Linked DNA regions of Ovis aries. The protein of the gene in region 4 purifies or fractionates together with the protein of the main gene of each other region. This does not show direct contact. Links are inferred from orthologs where the notes say so. Each region holds a gene or a part of one and is shown on either strand. Other genes may lie near its edges.

Region 1 (3,500 bases), on a different chromosome or scaffold from region 4:
GGATGAGAAAGGGATTTACATTATCTTAGAAATATGCATGATAATCAACCAATCCTCATGCAAATTATGACATACAAAAAAAAAAGTTACGAAAACAGGAAAAGCCACGGCCAATGTTCCTATTTCGTATGTATTTTGCATCAAACATACATTCTGCATCCAACAAAACACTTTGAGAAGGAATATCATGACAAGCAAATGAAGAACAGACCCATCAGGAAGAAACAAAACAAAGCCACAGTAAGATCATTACTTCACACCCAGAAGAAGACACTCAAAAATTACTGGCAAACATGTGGAGAACCTGTAGCCCTTAAGACACTGCTGGGGGAAAGCAAACAGCAAAGTAAGTGTGAAAAATAGTCTGGCAGTACCTCAAAATATTGAACATAAAAGTTTCCATGCGATCCAGTAATCCTATTCCTGGGTATATACCCAAGAGAACTGAAAACTTAGGACCACATACACCTTACGTTAACTGTTCAGCACGACTACTGACAGCGGCCAAAGAGGGGAAAGAAAATGTCCATCTGCTAATGAACAGATGAATCAGTCACAAAGACCACTTTTGTATGATTCCACTTATAGAAAATGTCCAGAGGAGCTCAGAATATGGGAGTGACTACTAAGTATGTAGTTTCTCTTAGGGTGACAAAAATGTTTCAAAATTTACTGAGATGATGGTTGCACAACTCTGTGAATACACGGAAAACCACTAAATTGTATTCTTTTGTATGGTTAAGTGAACTGTGTATGAGGGCACTGTAGGATGTGAGTTATTTCTCAACTAAACTGTTATCCAAGCAGGCGACTGTGCTTCTCTCTCTGACTTACTTAGATTCCAGTCAGAAATCGTGTCATCGTCATCAATTTCATCGTCGTCGTCCTCCTCCTCTTCAATTCCATCTTCATCATGCTGCTGAGCCACTGTCCTTGATCGATGAAACCGTGGCCTGATATCTTGCTCACTATCAGGAATTGTTTCATCTTCTTCAACATCACCCTGTGTATTTTTTAAAAGGAAAATTCTGGTTATATTCATATAAGTTAATAGTATGTATATGGGTAAAAGAATGAGAATATTCACAGAGAGCATGACATATGATTCTGAAATATGGCTGATGCTTGAACAGTATGGGTTTGACCTGCAGGCCAACAGATAGCGTGACATGATTCTGAAATACAGTTGATGCTTGAACAGTATGGGAGTGAACTGCATGTCCAGTTCAAACAGGATGCAGATTTCTCTCCAGTAAATGAAGTATTAGATGACTACATAATCTGTGGTTGAATTTGCAGATATGGAACCATGGACAGGAAGGGCCAACTGTGAAGTTATACAGGGATTTTTGATTGCACTGGAGGTCAGTGCCCCTAATATCCCATTGTTCAAGGGTCAGCTGTATACATCTTCTGCTTGCCCCTACGTAGAAAATAGCTCTTTGTGAAGGGGAAGAATAGGCTATCACATAACCCATGATAGATTATCAGGGATTCTGAACCACATAAGATGGTTTCCCAACATCTGGTATAATCTAGAGTATCTGAATTAAATTCAGAACATATTTTAAGATTATTTTAAAATGAACCCCAAACAGTCAGAATTAACAGGAAATTCACGCTAACTCTACTAGTGTCACCATCTAGTTAGTTTCAATTAAGCTAGAATCTACTGCCAGTCAAATTCATTATGTTTGCTTCTATCTTTAACTCCATAGCATATTACATAACAGAAAGCCTATTTAAATAGAGCCTACTCTAAATAAATGTCCTATTAGTCAAATTCAAAGATCTGTAAGTCAGTGAAAATAAACATCCTTATTCATCAGGGAATAGTTTCCTTACCTTAAGTAGGATAATGTCTATATCTGAATACTTCATGCCATTCACTAACACAGGGATCAACCTATAAAGACAGAAATTCATGAAACAAAGATCTAAAGATCTCAAGGTCTCAACAACCTCATGAATACTAATAATACCACCACTACTGTTAACACTGCCTTATAGCATATTCTATGTCTGCCCTTCTCCAATGATGAGTACTCCCAATATGCATCTTAGGCCTCTTACATACTCATGCACAGAATCTACTGGATGGAACTTTAGAGTGGACAAGACAGCTTGTCAAGAGTGCTTAATACATGAACGAACATTCCCAATTCTTAAAGACTGATGTTCCATGATGCAACACTAAGAACAATGCAAACAATCTAAATGTTCGTCAGTAAGGGCCTGGTTAAAAACAAGTTACAACTGGGAATTTCCCAGCAGTCTAGTGGTTAGAACTCTGTACGTTCACTGTAGGGGCCGGGTTTTAATTCCTGGTTGGGGAACTAAGATCCTGTAAGGACTTTATTTTTGGATGCACAGTCATGAAGAAACACATGACAGTGAAGTTGGGAAAACAAAAAACCACCAGTGCAAAATACATAAAAAGCTCATATCCATTTGTATTAAAGACAATGAGATTCCTAGCCACAGCAATCAGGTAAAAAAGGATGCATTCCTATATACCAACAGCAAAAGATCAGAAAGAGAAATTAAGGAAATAATCCCATTTACCATTACATCAAAAAGAATAATACCTAAGAATAAACCTACTCAAGGATGCGAAAGACCAGTATTCAGAAAACTATAAGATACTGATGAAAGAAATAAAAGAATGACACAGACGGAGAGTTATCCCATATTCTTTGATTAGAAGAATCACTACTGTCAAAATGACTATACCACTAAAGCTACCTACAGATTCACTGCAATCCCTATCAAATTACCAATAATATTTTCCACAGAACTAGAACAAATAATCTCATTATTTGTATGAAAACGCAAAAGACCCTGAATAGCCAGAGCAATCTTGAGAAAGAAAACAAAGTTGGAGGAATCAGGCTCCCTGACTTCAGACTATACTACAATACTACAATAATCAAAATAGTATGGTACTGGCACATAAATAGAAATATATTTCAGTCAGACAGGATAGTAAGTCCAGAGATAAGCCCATGTATCTATGGTCACCTAATCCATGACAAAGATGACAAGAATATACAATGCAGAAAAGTGTCTTCAGTTAAGTGGTGCCAGGAAAAGTGGACAGCTATACATGTAAAAGAATAAAATTAAACACTCTCTAACACTATACACAAAAATAAACAAAATGGATTAAAGACCTAAATTTAAGACCAGACACTATAAAACTCAGAGGAAAGCATAGGTAGAACACTGACATAAACTGCAGCATGATCTTTTCTGATCCACCTCCTAGAATAATGAAAATAACAAAAACAAACAAATGGGACCTAATTAAACTTTAAAATGCTTCCGTACAGCAAAGGAAACCATAAAACAAAGCACACAACAAGGACTTAATCTCTAAAACACACAAATAGCTCATGCAGCTCAAAAAAAAAAAAAAGACAAAAACAACCCAATCAAAACGTGGAAGATCTAAATAGACATTTCTCCAAAGACACACACGCGGCAAAAAGGAGCAAATG
Region 2 (3,500 bases), on a different chromosome or scaffold from region 4:
ACAAAAGGTGGAGATGAAGAAGAGAATGACGAGCCACCAAAAGTAGTAGTTACTGAAGTAAAAGAAGACGATGCTTTTTACTCCAAAAAGTAAGTAGTAGTCACAGCAACCCGCTTGATGAATTTATTTTCAGAGACGTGGAAACAAGCTTCTGGCTGGAGCGCATGGGCAACATCATTCCTGCTGAGTTTACCAGGCACCCCTCCTGGGGTCAGGCTGTGCCTGCTCCCAGAATTGGGACAAAGGAAGAATTCTGGGCCTGTTTATTTAAAAATAATATGATCTTTAAATTTCCTGCTGGGCGAAGCCTGCTCTTTTATGTTAGTTTAGCTCTTTCAGCTTTTCAGGTGCTTTAGAAATTCTTTTCTGTCCTCATCTCTTACCTCATCGTTCTCTCCCTTTTTCTCCTTCCCTTCTTCCCTTCCTTTCCCTGCAGAGATAGTCATCTAAGTCAGTGATTCTAGATTTGGCTTTACTTTACTCTGTCTTCCCCCAGGGATGCAAGCTGGTTTGTCGTGTAGGGGGATTTTGTTTAATGCGAGTTGCTGCTTTCAGAAAAAGGCTGAAGGGAAATTTTTGGTTATCTCTCAGTGAAATGAAATTAGTGCTTTTTAACAAAGATTTTACTGAAAAACATTTGTGCCCTTAAAGCTTCCCTTGGATATGTTTTTCTAATACAAAAATTTCAGACTTAGTAAGTCAGCAGTTTTCATAGTATAAATCACCAAATCCCATTGGATTTCAAATGTTTATTTTTGAGAACTTTTAAAAAGAGACCAATTCCTTTTGCCTGTTTTAAAATAATTACACTGATGGTATAAGGGAATGACCCTGACTAAGGGCATTTTTTGCTTGTTTTGAATGAGGTTTTTTTGGTTTTTGTTTTGCCACTCCTCAAGGCTTGTGGGATCTTAATTTCCTGACCAGGGATTGAACTCTGGCCCCAGCAGTGGAAGTGCCGAGTCCTAACCACTGGACCACAGAGACTCTAACCCAAGGTTTTTTTCTAGTCATAGTGAATCAAAGGAACAGGCAGTGGTTTTGACTTGTTTAATAATGACCAATGGAGATGAAAGAGTCCTGAAGAAAATTCAAAAATAAGAACTAGGGAAAAGGTGAGGGGGAGGGGCAGAGTGTTTGTCCTGTATGTCCCTGTTCTTTAAGCACCAGGGGCAGCTCTTGAGCTCAGGACCAATACATCCAGGAGCTGTAAGGTGCTTGGCAGTGATTTTTGCCTGACCTGAGAAAGGATAGTTTCAGAAACCATTGTGAAGAATTGTATCAGGCCTGCTGTGTAATAGTGAGAAAAAAGGTGGGACTGTAGGCTGTCTCATCAGACTCTTACCTGCCTTGTGTGCAGACCTGATTTGGGTCAACAGAAGACTACCCAGCTCCCTCTGCTGTATTTGCTAACTGGCTTCCACACAGGCATGAGCAGGGGCTGTTGGAAAATCGTGTGGCTTTCGTGACATGTCACTGAGTGATCATGTCGATTATTTTTCTCCTTAGGTGTAAACTGTTTTACAAGAAAGAAAATGAATTTAAAGAGAAGGGTGTGGGCACTCTGCATTTAAAACCTACAGCGAATCAGAAGACACAGCTGTTAGTGCGGGCAGACACCAATTTAGGTGAGTGGCTTTTTCTTCAGGTGGCACAAAATAATCATAATTACACGGTACATAGAAGCTCTCTTCCTTGCTGATTTTAGTCTTCAAGATTTTCAAGTATGTTGATGTGTGTTTTGGAATAGAATAGAGATTGTTCAGGACAAATTCATCCTGTATGACACATTACTTACAGATTTATTTGAATGCTGGGGTGATAGTGCAGAAGGAAAACTCGATGTATTAGAAAGCTGCTGCCAAGGAAGTAACAAAATGTTTTCATTTTCCTTTGTGCTAGAACTGTGACTAAGAAACTGTAGGTAAATTGGACGGTTTAGTTAACTCTCCAGGAGAATTAACCTTGTAAAGAGATCCTTTTTATGTAGCAAAAAATCATTAACTCGTTGTTGTCCACCCTCCAGCTTTACCATTAACAGTCCTCTGAAAGGAGGGGGTAGTGCCCGGGTGGGGGTTCTGAGGGGAAGTGGTCGGGGTTGCCAGGCGACACCAGACTGTGTTCCTGAAACAGACTCCTGTGAAGCTCCTTTCTTTCATGTGGGCTCAGCTGACCTGTGGTGCAGTCACAGTGCGCTCACTCTTGCCTGTGAGCGTGCTGCCCCCTGTGACAGAGCCATTTCCCAGCTGACCACTCTTTGGGGAGAAGGCCTCGGTGGGGCCGAGTCCACGTCCTGCCAGAAGCCCCGTGCTCCTCTCTTGGGGACCCCATACTGTCAGGGAACCAGGCCCTTTTTGTGACGTTCCTGTGGCTCCGTGTTAAGTATGCATTGCATGATTGTTTAATGTTTAGCCTATTAAAGGTGTAGTCTCATGGAAAGTAGTTTATTTTGATGCATTTTTCCCTTTGTTTCAATGCAGGCAACATACTGCTCAACATCCTGATTGCACCCAGCATGCCATGCACCCGCACAGGGAAGAACAACGTGCTCGTCGTCTGCGTTCCGAACCCGCCCGTCGATGAGAAGAACGCCGCCACCCCCGTCCCCATGTTGATCCGGGTGAAGACAAGCGAGGACGCGGATGAGCTGCACAGAATCCTGCTGGAGAAGAAGGGTGCCTGAGCATGCCCACCGAGGAGTGGCTGCCACGCTGCTGCTTCCCCTAGCGCCCCTGAGCTTAGTCAGTTTTCTTCTCTTCTTACTTTGACGTTCTAGGACTTAGAGATAACTTAAAACTTTTGTGGGGAACATTAATATTAAAAGGCCAATAAAACCTTCAATGTTAAGTGTTAAGAAACTGCATTCTCCCTTCTTAAGAACTGTCTAATGTGTAAAATACATTTGAAAGAAAAATTTTGGAAGATTTTTAACATTCATTTATTAAACTAACCACAAGTGATTTCTTAATGGACTGAAATCAGGGTATCGATTAGATTTCCCAAAGGCTTTTCTGATCCAGGGCTTGGGGTCTGCTGCCAGCATCTGCGCAGCCGCTCGTCCTCCAGTGAGCGTGGCTGCTGTGGGGTGGACCTGCTGCCGCGCTGTGGCCGAGGTGCTCCCCTGTGCTTTGTCATGTTACTTTACAGCTGGAACGTTTGCCTTCAGCAGTGGAGTCCTCAGCCGTTTTCGTGTGGACGCTGGCCTCTAACCCTACAGGCTGCTTTACTAGGATTCCAGAGCTGCTTTTTCATTTTAAGAGGAAATGAGTAGCTTGTTGTTTGGTTTTGTAGGTTCCTTCATGAGGTGCTCTTACTTCTGTATCCCCCTAGAGACGAAAGAGATGGGGGGCTTGCCAGGAAAGAGGTTGAAAAGCACAAATTTGGTAGTTTGTAGACCACAGACAGTGGTCACAACCCTTATAGAAAAAAGGGTTAAACCGTACAACAAAAGGGAAAGAATATGCTCTTAGTTAATTGTACCGTGATGAACCCTATGGATC
Region 3 (4,285 bases), on a different chromosome or scaffold from region 4:
CATCAGTCTTCATTCCTGCTCTGTCACTGCAAAGACTTAAAAATTTTCTAATGAAGGTCCTATCTGGCTCCCAGCTGGCTTGGGGCCACCTCCTGCTTACTGCAGCAAGAATAGAGTGAAATCAGCTCCAATCAGCTAATTGAATTGTTTACCATTTTCAATGTTTTCTTCCATTATTATGGCTGAATTCAGAATACCCTGCAAAATACAGAAACCTTAAAGAGAGTAACAGGGAATTATCTTTATCTAACAGGGAATTATCTTTATGTCAGTCACCTTTACTTGCATGGCCAAAAGTCTTAACTGATTTTATACAAAGCACACATACTTCTATAAACAATGACAGACTTAAAAACAAATTCATAAACCATCAAGACTTTATCATTAATTCAACAAACATTATGCTAACATACTGCAGATAAAATAAATAAACCCTACTCTCAAATGAGAGGGAAAAGGTAAAAATAAAATTGAGAGCAACAGAGAACAAGTAGTCCAGGAAACAACTGAGAGCAGCAATTCCAGACTATCTGGTATAGTTTATAACACAGTTAAAGCAAAGGAAAATTATGAAAATTACCAAAGCTGATCACAGCTCTGAGCCTCCTAATAGCCAAAGTATAAAGACAAACAGGATGGCTTACGAATAGAAATGATCTAATAAAAAGAGTCATTTGTTTAAATTTTTTTGTAAAGCAAAGAAAAAAATCAAAAAGGCCTGTCACTGAGGGCTTAAAAGAACCCGTCTTTAAGGTTTATACTTTATAAGGATCAGTAAATAAATTATAAACAGTGTCTTGGGTAGCAAGGAAGAGTTTTTTCATGTTCCCTTTCTCATGTCCCAATCCTAGATAAAAGTTAAAGTACAAAATATTAATTCACAGTTCTGTGAAGGAATTTCTATAAGGATCTAAAGTAACATAATGCAAGTACACTGGTGATGTGTTAATTTCTATCATTTAGCTTAGTCTAGGTTTTCATAAATGCATGTTTTGCTTCTCTACCAGACTGTAAACACTCAAGGCTTGCGTTGTTTGATTCCATTTGAACTTCCTTTGCTTTTTAGTACAGCTCCCGCTCAATTATAATGACCGATAAAATTTTACGCAGTCAATATTTATAGTCTTTATCTATTAGTCTTCTCTGCAACACTACAAATTCCATGAGGACAGGAACAATGTCTTGATCATGTCCACATCCCCAGTCTCTGAGCATATGAATGGACCAAAAAAAGAAAACACAACCAAGAAGTATGAAAGGAGAGGAGAAATAATTCCTAAAATGTCAGTGATTCTGTTCTAACAAGAGCTGCAACACCTAGGTAAGTTACTTAACTTCTCTAACCCTCAAAGCTTTAATCTGTAGAAAAGGAAAAAAATAACACACTTCAAAGTTACTGTAAGCATTAAACCTTTTACTCTACAGAAAGTATTTAGCACAGTATCTGGAAAAAAGTTCATTAAACGTTACCCCTTTAACTTCTCTCAAGTTCTCCAACTGAAAACCCCGTGTTAAACACAACAGTGCCATCAAAGAATAAACTATTTCAGTAAAAGTACAACAGAGTTCATCCTTCCTTTCCTTTGAAGTTAAAATTTCATCTCTTCAATCTTTAAAATGGAAGGGGAATAGCTTGTGAATTACTTTCAAAATATTACAAACGCAAGAACAAGGGGAAAATGTCAATAATGAGCCTTGAAAAAAAAAAAAATAAAAAAAAAAAAATAATGAGCCTTGAAGTAACATGAAGGGAAACATCACTTACTCATCTACTGTTAAGAAACAGGTTTTTAAGGAAGTGTTTATTAAAGGAAAAGAGGACTGAAAAGTTAGAAATGTTATTTAATAGTATGCTTAGAAAAATTACTTCCAAACTGTTTATTCAGAATTTAAACCTTAAAAATCAATTATCTTGACATCGTTTGCTTAGAAGCCGAACATTAAATACTTCCATTCAAACCGAAAACATTCCTTCATGACGGCTTCCCGGACTCCAGTCATCCTTCAGTCCTCTCCTCCCATTTTGAGCTTCTCTCGCATCACCACTGACACACGCTGTGTGCAGACTAAGTTCTGTCATTCCTATAATTACCACACCCCTGTCAGCCGCTTCAGGCCCATGTTGTTATGACATCTGTAAACTGCAGTCGGCCGTCTCCACTCCCCTGCCCCTTCCCCCGAACCTCCGGCTCTGGCTGAAACTTGACAATTTCCGAGACCAGACCGTTCCCTACTGCCTCAGTTAGGGTTTTTACACACACCCCCATCCCCTATTCTCACCTGGCTCAGTCACGCACACTCTGCGCAGCCCACCCCCGCCCCCACGCCCGTCTGCGTGGGGCCGCGGCGCTGGCTCCGCGCTGCCTGCTCGGCTCCGCGCTGCCTCCTCGCCGCCCCGCAGCCTCTGCGCCCCGCAGTCCCCGGCGCCGCTTACAGCCCGGCTGCCGCGCCACCCCGCCCCGCCCCGCCCCGCCTCGCCTCCACCGGCGTTCCCGATGGCGAACACACCAGCGCTCCCCACCCCCACCGTCCCCTCCGCCTGCCGCGCGGCCGTTAGGACAACCGGGCCCGTGACGCACGGACGCGCCGCGAGTGCCCAGGCCCAGGAACCCGAGCTCGAGCACAGGCGGCGGCCGGCCCTCGCCGCGGGGCCTCTCCTGGGTCCCGCCGAGGACTGCCGGATCGGCCGGCGGGAGGGGGAGGGGTCGGGGGCCGCCACAGCCCCGCACTCACCAGGTTCAAGGCAACCGATCCCGGTGCCACTTCTGGGGTGAGCCTCTGCCTCGCTCGCTCGCCTGCCGTCCGTCTTCTACACACAACCTCGAAAGAGTCGGCTCTCGCCGCGCGGTGCTCACCAGGCCTCGCTCGTCGCCTCCGCCGCCGCGCACCCAGCACAGCGAGACCTAGCTCAGCCGGCGTTCGCAGTGCGCCTGCGCGCGGGGGCCGGGCCGCGCACTTGCGCGTTCCTCTCCACCACTCTGCTGCAGAGGCTGCCGGGAGATGTAGTCTTTCAGCTTGTTCTCTGGAGGCTCTGGCGGTTAGCTGGGAACCAGTGGAGAGAGTCTGGAGTCCGGGAGAAGGTCCGATTGAGAAGGTGGGCAGTTAATGACAAGGGTTGGAGAGTCATGCTGGAGTGACAATGAAACGGTAGTTCTTAGGCTGAATTGCAAAGTTATGTTTTGTCTTCGAAGTTCTTCCAGGGCGGCAGGTCGATCTTCGCTCACCTGTCTATAGCTAGCCACTGACACGGTTGTTAACTAGAACACGTTGATGGAATGAATGAAGGCTGAGGGATTTTTACAAGAGTTATAAGTCAGCGCCTCATGGCTCAGGCGTTCACGTGCAGCACGTTTGAGAAAACTTCGGGCTATATCATATTTGGTTCTGTCCCGTCCCGCTTTGCCTGGTAATGCACTGAGCAGTATCAGAATTCATTAAGGAATTAAACGAAACATGAACGCTGGCTTTACTCTCAACAAATGTTCTCCAACGAAAATTTGGGGCAAATAATTTACTGTTAAATTTGACGGAATTCTCTTTGGGGGATTCTTTTTGAGCAGTGGCTTCTAAAGAAAGACTGAAGGCAGCCAAGCAGAGGTCACAGAATATAAAGTCTCACATATAACGGTTTATCAAATCAACCTAAAACACACACGGAGAAGCAGGGTGGAAGAAATGGGATAACTCTGTAACATTAGAGCGGGAGAGAGGACCATACGATGCAGTGTTCATTTGTCCTGGATGTCTTTCTGCCACATCAGTGTTTCCCACTAAAGTGTGTTTTCTAGGATGTGTTGAGTTCGATCAAGGGCCCTGGTGAAAGGGAATGTGTTCTAAGGGGGAGACTTGGCCACGGGGTTGCAAAAGAGTCAGACATGACTTAGCTCACCACCACTGAGCTAAGGACAGATCACTTTATTCCAATCAGGAGCTAATATTAATATTATTCAGAGCTGGACTTTAGGGTCTGTGAAAACTAGTTTCTTTCCAGTTCACCCTTTCTTCTAGTTGGGGTATCCCATGTGGGTCCTGACCAATCTGAAGTATTTACTAGGGCCACTCTTCCTTTTCAGGGCTTCTCTGATAGCTCAGTTGGTAAAGAATCCTCCTGCAATGCAGGAGACCCCTGTTTGATTCCTGGGGCAGGAAGATCTGCTGGAGAAGGGATAGGCTACCCACTCCAGTATTCCTGGGCTTCCCTGGTGGCTCTGCTGGTAAAGAATGTGTATGCAATGTGGGAGACCTTAGTTCAATCCCTGGGTTGGGAAGATCCCCTGGAGAACAG
Region 4 (3,500 bases):
ATTAAGGTAAAAAATGTTTTCTCCCAGGAATAATATTACTAACAGCTATAAGCATATCACATTATTGGGTTGGCTGAAAAGTTTGTTTTGGGTTTTTCTGTAAGATCTTACGGAAAAAACCCAAATGAACTTTTTGTCCAGCCCAATATTAATTAATGTTATTAATATTTATTAACAGTAAACAGGGAGACATTCTAATCAAAACATTAACTAATTTTTCCCCTCCCACCCACCTCTTCCCCCCGGTTGTAGGTTTTGCATCACCGAAGGCAGATTCTCTTGCTGCTCAACCTGCCACCACAAGCCCGGTAGTTCACACAAGACCAGCAATAAGCAGCTTTTCTTCTAGTGGAACTGGGTTTGGGGAAGGTTTAAAAGCTGGGTCGTCATGGCAGTGTGATACTTGTCTACTCCAGAACAAAGTCACAGACAACAAATGCGTAGCCTGCCAAACAACAAAATTGCTACCAAAAGATTCTGCTAAACAGACTGCAACCGGGACACCAAGTAAAAGCGGCAAACTGACTGTTTCCACACCAGGGACGACAGGCTTCGGAGACAAATTTAAACCAGCAGTAGGAACTTGGGATTGTGATACCTGTTTAGTGCAGAATAAACCTGAAGCGATAAAATGTGTAGCTTGTGAAACACCGAAACCGGGAACTGGTGTTAAGCGAGTCCTTACGTTGCCAGCGGCTTCAGAAAGCGCTGTAACTGTGGCTGCTTCCTCCTCCAGCTGCACTGTGACCACTGGTGCCTTAGGATTTGCAGATAAATTCAAAAGGCCCGTGGGATCTTGGGAGTGTCCAGTGTGCTGTGTTTCTAATAATGCAGAAGACAATAAGTGTGTGTCCTGTATGTCTGAGAAACCAGGTACGTTTATGGCTGTTTGGAATAATTTTGTTCATTACTTTAATAGAACATTTTAATTCTATTCTCTGTAAACCAGCGAAGAACAAACCTCAGTATTTTAGATGTTTCAGGACAAGCATTTCCTCCTGTGTCAATAATTTTCCAAACTGTCTTGAGATGAAAATGACTTGCCTGGAACTGACACTGCACGTTCTCTTAACCTAGGTTGTGTGTTAATCAGTCCAGCATTTGCTTTGACCTCTTCTTTGTGTGCACTTTTATTAGAAACTTCTGGCTCTTCGTGATCTATTCAAAGTTGGCTGATACAGATGCAAAGGTCTTAGAACGGAGCACTCTTTCTCAGACCTTTACACAGAATAAAATACTACTCTGTCTCTTTTTCTCAAAGAGGAAGTGAGGATGGCTAGCGGTCATTTCCACAGCTAGTTTCATTAAGGAGTAGACAGTATTGTGTTATCAGAAGAGTGTGGCTGAGCACTAATGATGATACCTATACCTGTATGTGCTATCTGCCAGAGACCCTGCAATGATCATAAATTATTAAATCGTTAATGAAAAAGTACTATTGGGCAGACAGAAAAATGGAGCTAGAGTTGAATTTTTCCTGTTTCTCTGTTCAATTTTGAAAGAGTTACTGAAGATTTACACTGATCTTTAATTCATTTGGAATTAATTCATTTGACTCTTTGATGTTTTTGTAATGCTATTATATAATTCTTTGGTACAGATACATGGTAACATAGATACTAAATAAAACATGTTATAAGTGTCCTGGGAATTATACTTCCTATTCTTATTGCATTATTGATGGATGCGTGGTTTTGTGTCTACAGTGAAAAGCTCTTCATAGCCTAGAACCCTATCCTAACACAAGGGGTGTGCTGTATTTCTTGATTCCTGCTAGACATCTCTACAGGAGTAAGATTTCAGAGTCTTTATTCTGAAATATCTTTCTCTTCCCATCTGTCATCCTCATTGTCCCTTTAACAAAAAAAGCTGTTGATGGATGTCTGAGAGCAAAATTAATTGAGTTGATGGGTCAAACTTGTACTTTTGTTCAATCATCTGGTGGCTTTTTGGAGGATGGATTTGAAGGCAACAAAATTTGGAGACCAGAGCACAGATTAGGAAGTTGATCAATAATATGGATAGAGATAGTGGTGATATGTACTAATGAAATCAAATGGAGGGGGATAGAATAATGTATTGAGTTGAAGATACATTAAGTTCAAGCTGCTGAAGTTGACAGATATGTGTGAGAAGACTTTTTAAGATATAAAACTGATTATAGACACTCTGGACTGGAGACACAGATTTGGGAATCATTCACTCATAATTTTCAAATAAATGATGAGAGAAGAGGTGATGTAAGGTGAGTGAGTGGAGCAAACAGAGAGGATAGCCTAAAACTGAATTCTGCTTAGCTTAAGAGAGTAGCAAGAATAGAACTTTGAAACAGTTAATTGAGAGGAAAGACAAGAACCAAACAAGAACCATGTAATACTGGTTGCTTCTTACGAGGATGGGTTTCAAGGGAACCAAACCAGAAGTCTCAATAAGGCTGTCCACTAGAAGAGCAGCAGAAGGGTCCGAGGAAGGAATGAAACAGATTGCAGAGATACATCAGGAGGAGTTGTCTTCTCCCCAGGCCAGCCAGGTGCGTAGTGGAACGCCCATCAAAGAGGTAGTACAGCACTGACGCCCGGAAGTATGGGTCTTGGGTGCTAATGGGAAAGATTTTGTTGGTGATTAAAATCATCAGGGTAGATGAGACCTTGTGAGAGGGCAGTGGACCAAAGACGGTAGGATTTTATTGGCAAAGTGGAAGAGAACATAACGATAAAAACCACAGAGCAGGTAACTGGGAGAAGTGACAACAGCCGGAGGACGTTGAGAGAAGTGGGGCTTCCAGAGCGAATGGCTTTACTTGCAACCCTGCATTTCTTCACGCAGCTGCGCCTTACTGAGCCGTCCCTCCTATGCTGCTGCCTCTCCTCACGAAATTGCTACGTCTGCTTAAAAGTGTAAATAGGACCTCTGTGAATCCTCCTGTCTCGTAGTAGTGTCTTCTCTGTGCGCTTATTTAGATCGTTTGTCATTCCATCTTGGCGATGGTGGTACTATGCATTTATGTTTGTTTTACTTTCCCCTTTTTAGACCAGAAGCACCTTTAGAATCGACACTTTACTCATCTTAATATTCCCAGAACCTAAGAACATTACAGTGCTTAATCAATGTCTGTTAAATGGCTGCGTTTTAACCGAAATGCCTTGAACATAGTAGGTCACGTCTACTTGAGTTGCAACACTTCTGTGCAGAAATGGTCATTTCAGAGTCAGAGATCTGTGCTTTGGAATCTTGAAATTAATATGGCCATGACTGTGTATTTTATGTGTTAGGCTCTTCCCTACGATTTATAACTTATATTTTATAATCTGTGATGCTTAACAAAATTTGACAAACATTATTAAGGAAAATTTAGTCTTTTATGCCCTGATCTGTGAGCATCAGTTTAAAAAACAAAACAAAACATGGCTATTCAACCTTGGGGTTAAGAGGACACTCAACAGTGAGCAAGGTGAGTGTGAGTTGCTCATTTATAAGACTAAAAGAAATCTGAGATGTCT
Region 5 (3,500 bases), on a different chromosome or scaffold from region 4:
TTATGTATTTAATGAGGGGGTTTATTATTTGTGTTGCTTTATCAAAATAAAATTATGAATTTTACTAAATATTATAAAAAGTAAGATAAATTTATAACAAAAAAGAAATATTAAACCTAAGACCAGAACATAGTTTTTACCTTTCAATATATTTATAAGAGTGGTTGTCAAACCACTCTTACTTTAGATATTAATAACTCTTGAATTATTCAAGAGTATTTTTTGTTGTGAGTTAATCTTGTGTGTGTGGTGGTTACTGTTTTGAGTGAAGAGTATGGCAGTAAGAAAGATTTTGGTATGAGAAATTTTTGCAGTTTTAATTCATACTGTAAGATTAATTATGTACTTTGTTTTTTTCTTCAGTTGATGATCAGCTGACTGTTCACATAGATGAAGGTGGATGGGCTTGTCTGGTCTGCAAAGAGAAACTCATTATTTGGAAGATTGCTCTGTCACCTATCACTAAGGTAATGATTCTTTAAAGAGCTGGAGGGGGAGAGAGGAGAAAATTCCTAATTGGCTCTGAATTTTTACCCTAACTTTTTAGAGTTGTTGGAAATCTGTAATTTGAATCGACTCAAGCATTATAGATTGCATTTTTATAGTAATATGAAATACCAAGCATGCATACACATTTGTGTATTGGGAAAAAAGTCTCTCTCCTTATCATGATTTTAAACAAGATATACTTTATTTACATTTAATAAAGTTAAAGACATTGACATTTTTAATGAGTGTCTTGCTAGTCACTCTGCAGTGAAGTCTAAGACTAAATGCCATCCACAGAAACTAATGAACCGAGTTCCTAAGAGGACAGGAGCGTGTTGCACTGAATCTACTGAATCACGTGTAAGAAATAGGAGAGAATTATACCAAGTTTTATAATGCTGTTTAACTCTTCATTGTCAGCTTTTCACACGGGGGCTCTCGTTTGTATGTTCACTGCTGGACTCTCAGCAGCCTCTTTCTGTCCACTCCAGATCAGGCATGCTCTCTTGCAGTACTCATGCTCACGGGGCCTCTGTTCCACTGGGACTCAGGCTCCAACTTACCTAAACTCTTCGTGTGTACTGGTCTCTGTACACCTGCTGTCTAGAAAACCATGTTTGTAGTTAGGAGCATAGGTGAGGGAGAGGTCCTGCAGTGGCATCCTGAGTTAGCAGAGGAAGCCTGATATTGGCTGAGTCTCAGAAATATTTTCTAGGCAACTTTGAATACTTACTCTAGTCATGCCAATTTTAAATGTCAACTCAACAAACCAAGATTAGACTGGGAAAATTCCATAGGAAGTCTACACAGTTCTTTCAACAATGGACTTTTTTTTGGTCTGGGAAGAGATTGGAGTAGTTTCTGTTAAGGGTCTGGTCTAGCTGTTAAGTTTTCCTGACTCTCTATCTCTTAAAATATTTTGTTTTAAAATTAGTGAAAATGACGATGGAAGCCTGATCAAAAAGATGTAAGAAGAAAGTATTTCTAGAATAGTATTTCTAGCAGTGAATTAGAATCTAAAGTATGCAGAGAAAGTGAAGTCAGGTGCATGTTCAAAAATTGGATTTGAAATGAGAAATTTTTTGTTTGGATTTGTTTTATAGTTATCTGTTTGCAAAGAACTTCAGCTGCCACCTAGTGATTTCCACTGGAGTGCCAACTTGGTGGCTCTCTCTTATTCTGCTACCTCAGGCGAAGCACATTCTACTCAGGTGGGTGACTTAAGTGCTTACTGAAGTAGATTTTTTTTAAGATAAGGGAGTTCTGAAGTTGGGGGAATCACCCAGTTGGGTTTTGAAACATAGCTGTAAAGCCGCAGAAATCAAGACAGAATGGTCATGGCAGAGGTAGACGCACGGGGCAGTGGACCAGAGCAGTGTACACATACGCCCCACACAGAGATGGTGCACGGATCTTCAACAGGGGTGCAGAAGAAATTCAGTGAAGCGAGGATGGTCTTCTCAATAAATGGTGTTGGAATCATTGACCATCTTTGGGAAGAAAAAAAAATTCCTCCTAAACCTCATGTAAAGATGAACCCCAAATGGATCATAGGTCTAAATGTAAATTGTAAAACTAAAAACTTTTAGAAGAAAACAGGAAAAAAATCATCATGACATGGGGTTAGTTGAAGAGTTCTTAGAAATCACCAAAAATGTGACTCATAAAAGAAGAAAAATCGATAAACTGGACTTAATCAAAATTTGAAACTTGGCTTTGCCAAGTCTTAGTTGCCCTGAGAAGAAAATGAAGACAGAGCTACAGATTGGTAGGAAATACTATAAATCAAATGTCCAATAAAGGACTTGTACCCAGAACATAAAATGAACTCTCAAAACTTGGTAAGAAAACAAACAACCCAGTTTAAAAAGTAAGGCATAGGACTTGAACACTTTACCAAAGAGAATATAAGGATGTCACATAAGCGGTGAAGAGACATTCACATCGTTAGCCGTTAGGGGGATGCAAGTAAAACAGTGAGATACCAGGTCACTCTTATCACAGTGGCTGCAGTTAAAAGCACTGACTGCAACGGCTGGTAAGGATGTGGAGCAGCTGGAACCTCGTACGTTGCTGACAGGCATGCAGAATGGTGCAGCCACTGATTCTCACTTTCTTAGAAAGTTAAAGTGCCCTTGACATATGACCCAACAGTTCCATTCCTGGCTGTTTATTTTAGAGAAATTAAAGCTTTTGTTCACACACAAAACAGTACACTAATGTCATAGCACCTTTATTTCTGATAGCCAAAGGTGAAAACAATCTGAATATCCTTTAGCAAGTGAACGGATAAATAAACTGATTCTTTCATAGGATGAGATACTGCTCAGCAGTAAAAAGACATGAGCTGTTGATCCATGAAACAGCATCGGTGAATCTCAGAGGCATTGTGCTAAATGAGATAAACCATTGTCGAAAGGTTCTGTTCTATATGATTCCGTTTGTTTGGCGTTCTCAGAAAGACAGAACTATAATGATGGAAATGGGGATTGCCAGGGGGGAGGGGAGGGGAGGCTGTGACCAAAGGGAAAGCGTTATGGGGCTTTGGTGCTGATGGACTCTCCTATATCCTGTTTGTGGTGGGACTTACAGGAGTCTAGAAGTGAAAGTTTTAGTCAGTTAGTCATGTCTGACTCTCTGTGACCCCATGGACTGTAGCCACCGGGCTCCTCTGTCCATGGAATTCTCCAGGCAAGAATACTGCAGTGGGTTGCCATTCCCTTCTCCAGGGGATCTTCCCAACCCAGGGATTGAACTTGGGTCTCCCACATTGCAGGTAGATCCTTTACCATCTGACCCACCGTGCGTTTCAAAATTCATAGGACTGTAAAAAGCGAAACATTTTGTACGATCTGAAGAGAAGCCAGAGTATAAAAGTTCATAGAATTATTAAACAGGAGGAGAAAATGTCAGTTTTACTGTATGATGATTCTTTAAATATGGAAAAAAAGAATTTTCCCCCTGATTTCTGTTCATGAGTAATGCATTGCCCTGGTTTCTGTATGTCAGTG
Region 6 (4,222 bases), on a different chromosome or scaffold from region 4:
TGGGTTGGGAAGATCCCCGGAGAAGAGCATGACTACCCACTAGAGTATTCTGGCTTCCATGGACTGTATCGTCCATGCGGTCGCAAAGAGTTGGACACAACTGAGCAACTTTCCCTGACTTCTGATAAAATCACGAAGTCTCCATGAGTAGAACTCTAGGATGGGTCTAATTTCCAAAAAACCTTTTAAAAAGGATTTAGAATCATAAAATTTCTAAGATGTTTTAAGCAGTATTTTAAGAAAACTTTTAGGTAAACAGTAAGTGGCACAGAAAGAAAATCAAGAGACAGCTGAGGAAAAAGACCTGAAAAAAGCTGGTGACAACTACAAAAAAAAGAGAGGGAGGGAGGAAGGGAAAGGGAGAGAAAGAAAAAAAAAGGCAGGAAAAAAAAAAAGTTGGTTCTGGACATACTTTCACTGAACACTTGAATGGCCAACTCAAAGTAAAAGCTGGCAACTGGAAAAGCAGGGAAACTTGAAGGGGAGATCAGAGCTAAAGACAACCTTGGAATCAGCTTCCACAGATTACAGAGGATGGGCGGGGGGAAGATAATCCATCAGAATTACTGAACAGGAGCACACAAAGACAGATCTTCACATTTGATAGTTAAAACCCACAAAGCTAAGACATGTTATTTAAATATCTCAGAAAGGCCTCATATTGATTTTCTGGGTTTACCATAACTCATAAACTAAAATATCCTCACCTGGTTGTTGCGGTTTTCCTGCAGTGGAGAAGTAGCATCATCAGGAAAAGAGCTGACATTTCTCCTTTTCAGCATCTGGTCATCCTTCTTAGCTTTCCTTAGCTCCACATTCACTTCTATTCGGCGCCGCCTCATTTCCTTGAGAAAAGATAACGTATCATCTCACCTATTACATCAGTGTTAGGTGCCAAGTGAAGACAACTTTTTAAATTCACTCAAAGTGTGGACGCTCTTTCCAAATACCTTACCATTTAAAAAATACTAGAAAAACAACAGAAGGTACTCACTGTACTGTCTTTCCCCTTGTTCTTGAATCTGTGAAGGCGGGGAGCTGGTGAATTAGCATTCTCATTGGTGGACATGATTATGAGACAAAGGGAGAAAGCTGCAAGATAGGGGAGAGAAAAAAATTTCCTTTTTATCACTTTGTTTGGCAATAACATAGCATTAAGGGAATTATCAAATACACGTTCAATCCGTATTTCCATACTAGAGGAGGAACTTCCTTTTTCAGCACTATGGAACATGAGTTTTGGCCAAATTATATTTGGCCCCTCCCCTCTGAAGGGCTGAGGCTTCCAGGAGCAGTGCTGTCCATCAGAAATATAATGCAAGCTGTATAAATTTAAGCTTCCTAGTAGCCACGATTGTTAAAAGCAAAAAGGAACAAATGAAATTAACTTCAATAATATATTTTATTTACTCCAATATCTATTTTCTCACTTCAACACATTACATCAAAAAAATTACTGAACTATTTTGCATTCTTTTTTCATACTAATTCTTCGAGATCTTGCAGGTACTTTAAGCTTACAGCATTAACTCAGTTTAGACTAGCCACACGCCTTTGGTGACTATCACACTGCACAGCATGGCTCTAGACTCTATATAGGATCCATGAATAGTTAACTGAAGACAACGTACGGGATATAAGGTTACAGTTAAAATCTATGTCGTACGGGCCACAAATTCAGATCTGGAGGCTCTGCTGCTGCTGCTAGGTCGCTTCAGTCGTGTCCGATTCTGTGCGACCCCATAGACGGCAGCCCACCAGGCTCCCCCGTCCCTGCGATTCTCCAGGCAAGAACACTGGAGTGGGTTGCCATTTCCTTCTCCAATGCATGAAAGTGAAAGTGAAGTCGCCCAGTCATGTCCGACTCTCAGCGACCCCATGGACTGCAGCCCACCAGGCTACTCCGTCCATGGTATTTTCCAGGCAGGAGTACTGAAGTGGGGTGCCATTGCCTTCTCCGAGGCTCTACTGGCTTTAAACGGCCCAAACAGATACATTCTGCACGTTTGAAAATATTTAAAAATCTGATTCGTCGTTAACATTATGTAAACTTTCATAAAATTTCCTGCCCACCCTGAACACCTGCGACGCAGTTCAGCATCTCGCACGTTTTCATTTCCAGAAATTCTGAGTGAATGCACTAAATTAGGCTCTATCAGCTGCGTTCCACTCAAACTCACCTACTTAAGAGCAATCTCCCAAAAAAATCACAAAAGTCCTCCTTCAAAGTGGCTATCTTTAATTCCATTCTGTTCTTTTACGAAATCGTGACACAGCCAACCCAGGGCCTACAAATTAAGAGATAGCACTTCCAACTGCCACCTCCATCTGCAGTCCCCTCCCCTACCCCCTTCCCCACCCCCATTTCGGGGAAGCAGCAGCGGGAACCCGCGGAGGAGGAGCCAGAGGCGTCGGGCCCCCTACCGAGGCTTTCGTTCTCGGGCCTGACTCTAATAATTCTTACTCAAAGGCGATTGCAGCGGTTCGCAAGGCCTCGGGCACTAAAGCCCATGCACTCGCATCCACAGTGAAACACCCGTTTCGTCAACGAACTACGCCCCCAAGGCCTCATCGACCAGAGAGGCCGAAGCCTGGCCGGGCGTCTACCCCGGGACTCCCCTCCCGCCTCCAGCAATCCAAGAGCGGCCTAAGGACCAGCCTTTGTCGCTCCACCTGCACTGCGACCTCAGTTCGTTACCTACACAGCAAGCTCAAGCGTCCACCGGAGGCTGTGCGCGGCGCACAAGCTGCGGGATCTACTGCCTCCAAACGTCTACCACGGTCAGCCCGAGGACGGTGTGGCTCGTGCAGCCGGCCGGCGCGATTTAAATTTCCCGGTGGCTCCGCATTCCGATTGGCTGGTTCGAGCTTACGCTATACGCCCATTGGTGGATTTGAAAAACACGTTAGCTGGGGAGGGGTCAGAGGGCCCAGAAGTAGATAGGATAGCATCGCGAGATAAGGGAGCGGCCGCGCGATCCCTGAGAGCCTTGCAGTGCGGAGAAGAAAAACTCCAGATCCCGGCATGCAGCGCGCAGGGCCGGTTCCCTGTCCATCTTGGTCGGAGGGTCAGCTCTTTGCATGGGTTTACCGCGGTGTGGTGGCTGGTCGTTTTCCTGAGTGTTTGCCTTAACTAAGTACCACAAATGATTCCCAAAATAATTCTCTTTAAAAATCTTAATAAAGAAATATATTGCTATGCATTTTTCCCGATGGGACTCAGAAAGAACTTTGCCGGGGTCTCTGGACATCAAGCAGGGGAGGGATAAGGCAGATATGTGCTGCATTTGTTAGTTACTGTTTTTAACTTGTGTCATAAAAGACTGCATAGAAGGCAGAACTATGTTAACAAAAGCTTTATTAATGCCTGCTTCTCCAGTCTTATTTTTAATAATTTGAAATACAAAAGAACTGCAAATCTTTATCCATATTTGTTAAATGTTAATTTACTATTTTGATGTGTATGTATATATATATGTATACACACATGCACGTGTACCTCTATTTATATATACATGGCTTTTACATATTACTTTTTGAACCATTTGAGAGTAAGTTTGAGAAATCTTGTCCGTTTACCCCTAAATATTTCAGCTTGTATGTTGTAAGAATAAGGACATTCTGTTATATTACCACACCATAATCATCAAATTCAAGACAATTGAACTTATATGCGATTATTTATTCTGTGTTCAGATCATCAATTGTTATAGTAATGATCTATGCTATATTTTATATATTTCAAATAAAATGTTTGCATTTTCTTGTAATTTAAAAAAAGCTTCAGTGATAGTCATCAGAACCTCAGGATTATGGTCCACTTTCTTTTCGCAGCTTTTCTGTATCCTGAGAAGGGTATTTTTAAGAAAAGCTGTATTGGCTTTTTCTTTTTTTACTATGATTCAAACAATGAACTTTGTCCCTCCTGCAGGCATTTTTGCCAGCCTCACTCATTGTGTAACAGTAATGAGAGTCATGGAGGTTCCTTCTACTTCCACATAACCAATCAGGATAATCTTACCCCCCCTAAATGCACAAGGTTGTGGGATTTCACCTCTAAACCAGTCACTACATGGTATTCTCCAGGCTACTGTGAATGGTTCAGGGGCAGTCATGTGACCTAAATTCATTCAGTTGAGAAGCCGGATACCTTTTGTTTAATGATGAGAGGTAGGAAAGCAGGCTCTGTTCTCAACTGAGAGATGTGAATCCTGGAAATCCA

Evidence for each region.
Region 1: the proteins of NUP153 (region 4) and TNPO1 purify together in Homo sapiens (co-immunoprecipitation; 3 studies listed by BioGRID and IntAct, with this or other methods). This does not show direct contact. The link is inferred for Ovis aries from reciprocal best matches to the Homo sapiens genes NUP153 and TNPO1.
Region 2: the proteins of NUP153 (region 4) and NUP50 purify together in Homo sapiens (affinity purification with mass spectrometry; 8 studies listed by BioGRID and IntAct, counting the BioPlex papers as one, with this or other methods). This does not show direct contact. The link is inferred for Ovis aries from reciprocal best matches to the Homo sapiens genes NUP153 and NUP50.
Region 3: the proteins of NUP153 (region 4) and KPNA1 purify together in Homo sapiens (affinity purification with mass spectrometry; 3 studies listed by BioGRID and IntAct, with this or other methods). This does not show direct contact. The link is inferred for Ovis aries from reciprocal best matches to the Homo sapiens genes NUP153 and KPNA1.
Region 5: the proteins of NUP153 (region 4) and NUP133 purify together in Homo sapiens (co-immunoprecipitation; 3 studies listed by BioGRID and IntAct, with this or other methods). This does not show direct contact. The link is inferred for Ovis aries from reciprocal best matches to the Homo sapiens genes NUP153 and NUP133.
Region 6: the proteins of NUP153 (region 4) and KPNA2 purify together in Homo sapiens (co-immunoprecipitation; 4 studies listed by BioGRID and IntAct, counting the BioPlex papers as one, with this or other methods). This does not show direct contact. The link is inferred for Ovis aries from reciprocal best matches to the Homo sapiens genes NUP153 and KPNA2.

Annotation. Positions count from the first base shown.
Region 1 is NC_056069.1:8,882,645-8,886,144, forward strand, and holds part of TNPO1 (transportin-1), read right to left. Parts: intron 1,907-3,500; coding exon 1,846-1,906; intron 1,004-1,845; coding exon 835-1,003; intron 1-834. UniProt on the Homo sapiens protein: Functions in nuclear protein import as nuclear transport receptor. Serves as receptor for nuclear localization signals (NLS) in cargo substrates.
Region 2 is NC_056056.1:221,496,523-221,500,022, forward strand, and holds part of NUP50 (nuclear pore complex protein Nup50), read left to right. Parts: intron 1-7; coding exon 8-89; intron 90-1,509; coding exon 1,510-1,628; intron 1,629-2,480; coding exon 2,481-2,683; 3' UTR 2,684-3,500. UniProt on the Homo sapiens protein: Component of the nuclear pore complex that has a direct role in nuclear protein import. Actively displaces NLSs from importin-alpha, and facilitates disassembly of the importin-alpha:beta-cargo complex and importin recycling.
Region 3 is NC_056054.1:187,775,848-187,780,132, forward strand, and holds the start of KPNA1 (importin subunit alpha-5), read right to left. Parts: upstream 2,801-4,285; 5' UTR 2,734-2,800; intron 2,409-2,733; exon of another isoform or gene 2,281-2,408; intron 1-2,280. UniProt on the Homo sapiens protein: Functions in nuclear protein import as an adapter protein for nuclear receptor KPNB1. Binds specifically and directly to substrates containing either a simple or bipartite NLS motif.
Region 4 is NC_056073.1:39,060,132-39,063,631, forward strand, and holds part of NUP153 (nuclear pore complex protein Nup153), read left to right. Parts: intron 1-252; coding exon 253-873; intron 874-3,500. UniProt on the Homo sapiens protein: Component of the nuclear pore complex (NPC), a complex required for the trafficking across the nuclear envelope. Functions as a scaffolding element in the nuclear phase of the NPC essential for normal nucleocytoplasmic transport of proteins and mRNAs.
Region 5 is NC_056078.1:1,017,453-1,020,952, reverse strand, and holds part of NUP133 (nuclear pore complex protein Nup133), read left to right. Parts: intron 1-363; coding exon 364-467; intron 468-1,592; coding exon 1,593-1,700; intron 1,701-3,500. UniProt on the Homo sapiens protein: Involved in poly(A)+ RNA transport. Involved in nephrogenesis.
Region 6 is NC_056064.1:48,653,715-48,657,936, forward strand, and holds the start of KPNA2 (importin subunit alpha-1), read right to left. Parts: upstream 2,801-4,222; 5' UTR 2,699-2,800; intron 1,093-2,698; 5' UTR 1,070-1,092; coding exon 995-1,069; intron 846-994; coding exon 708-845; intron 1-707.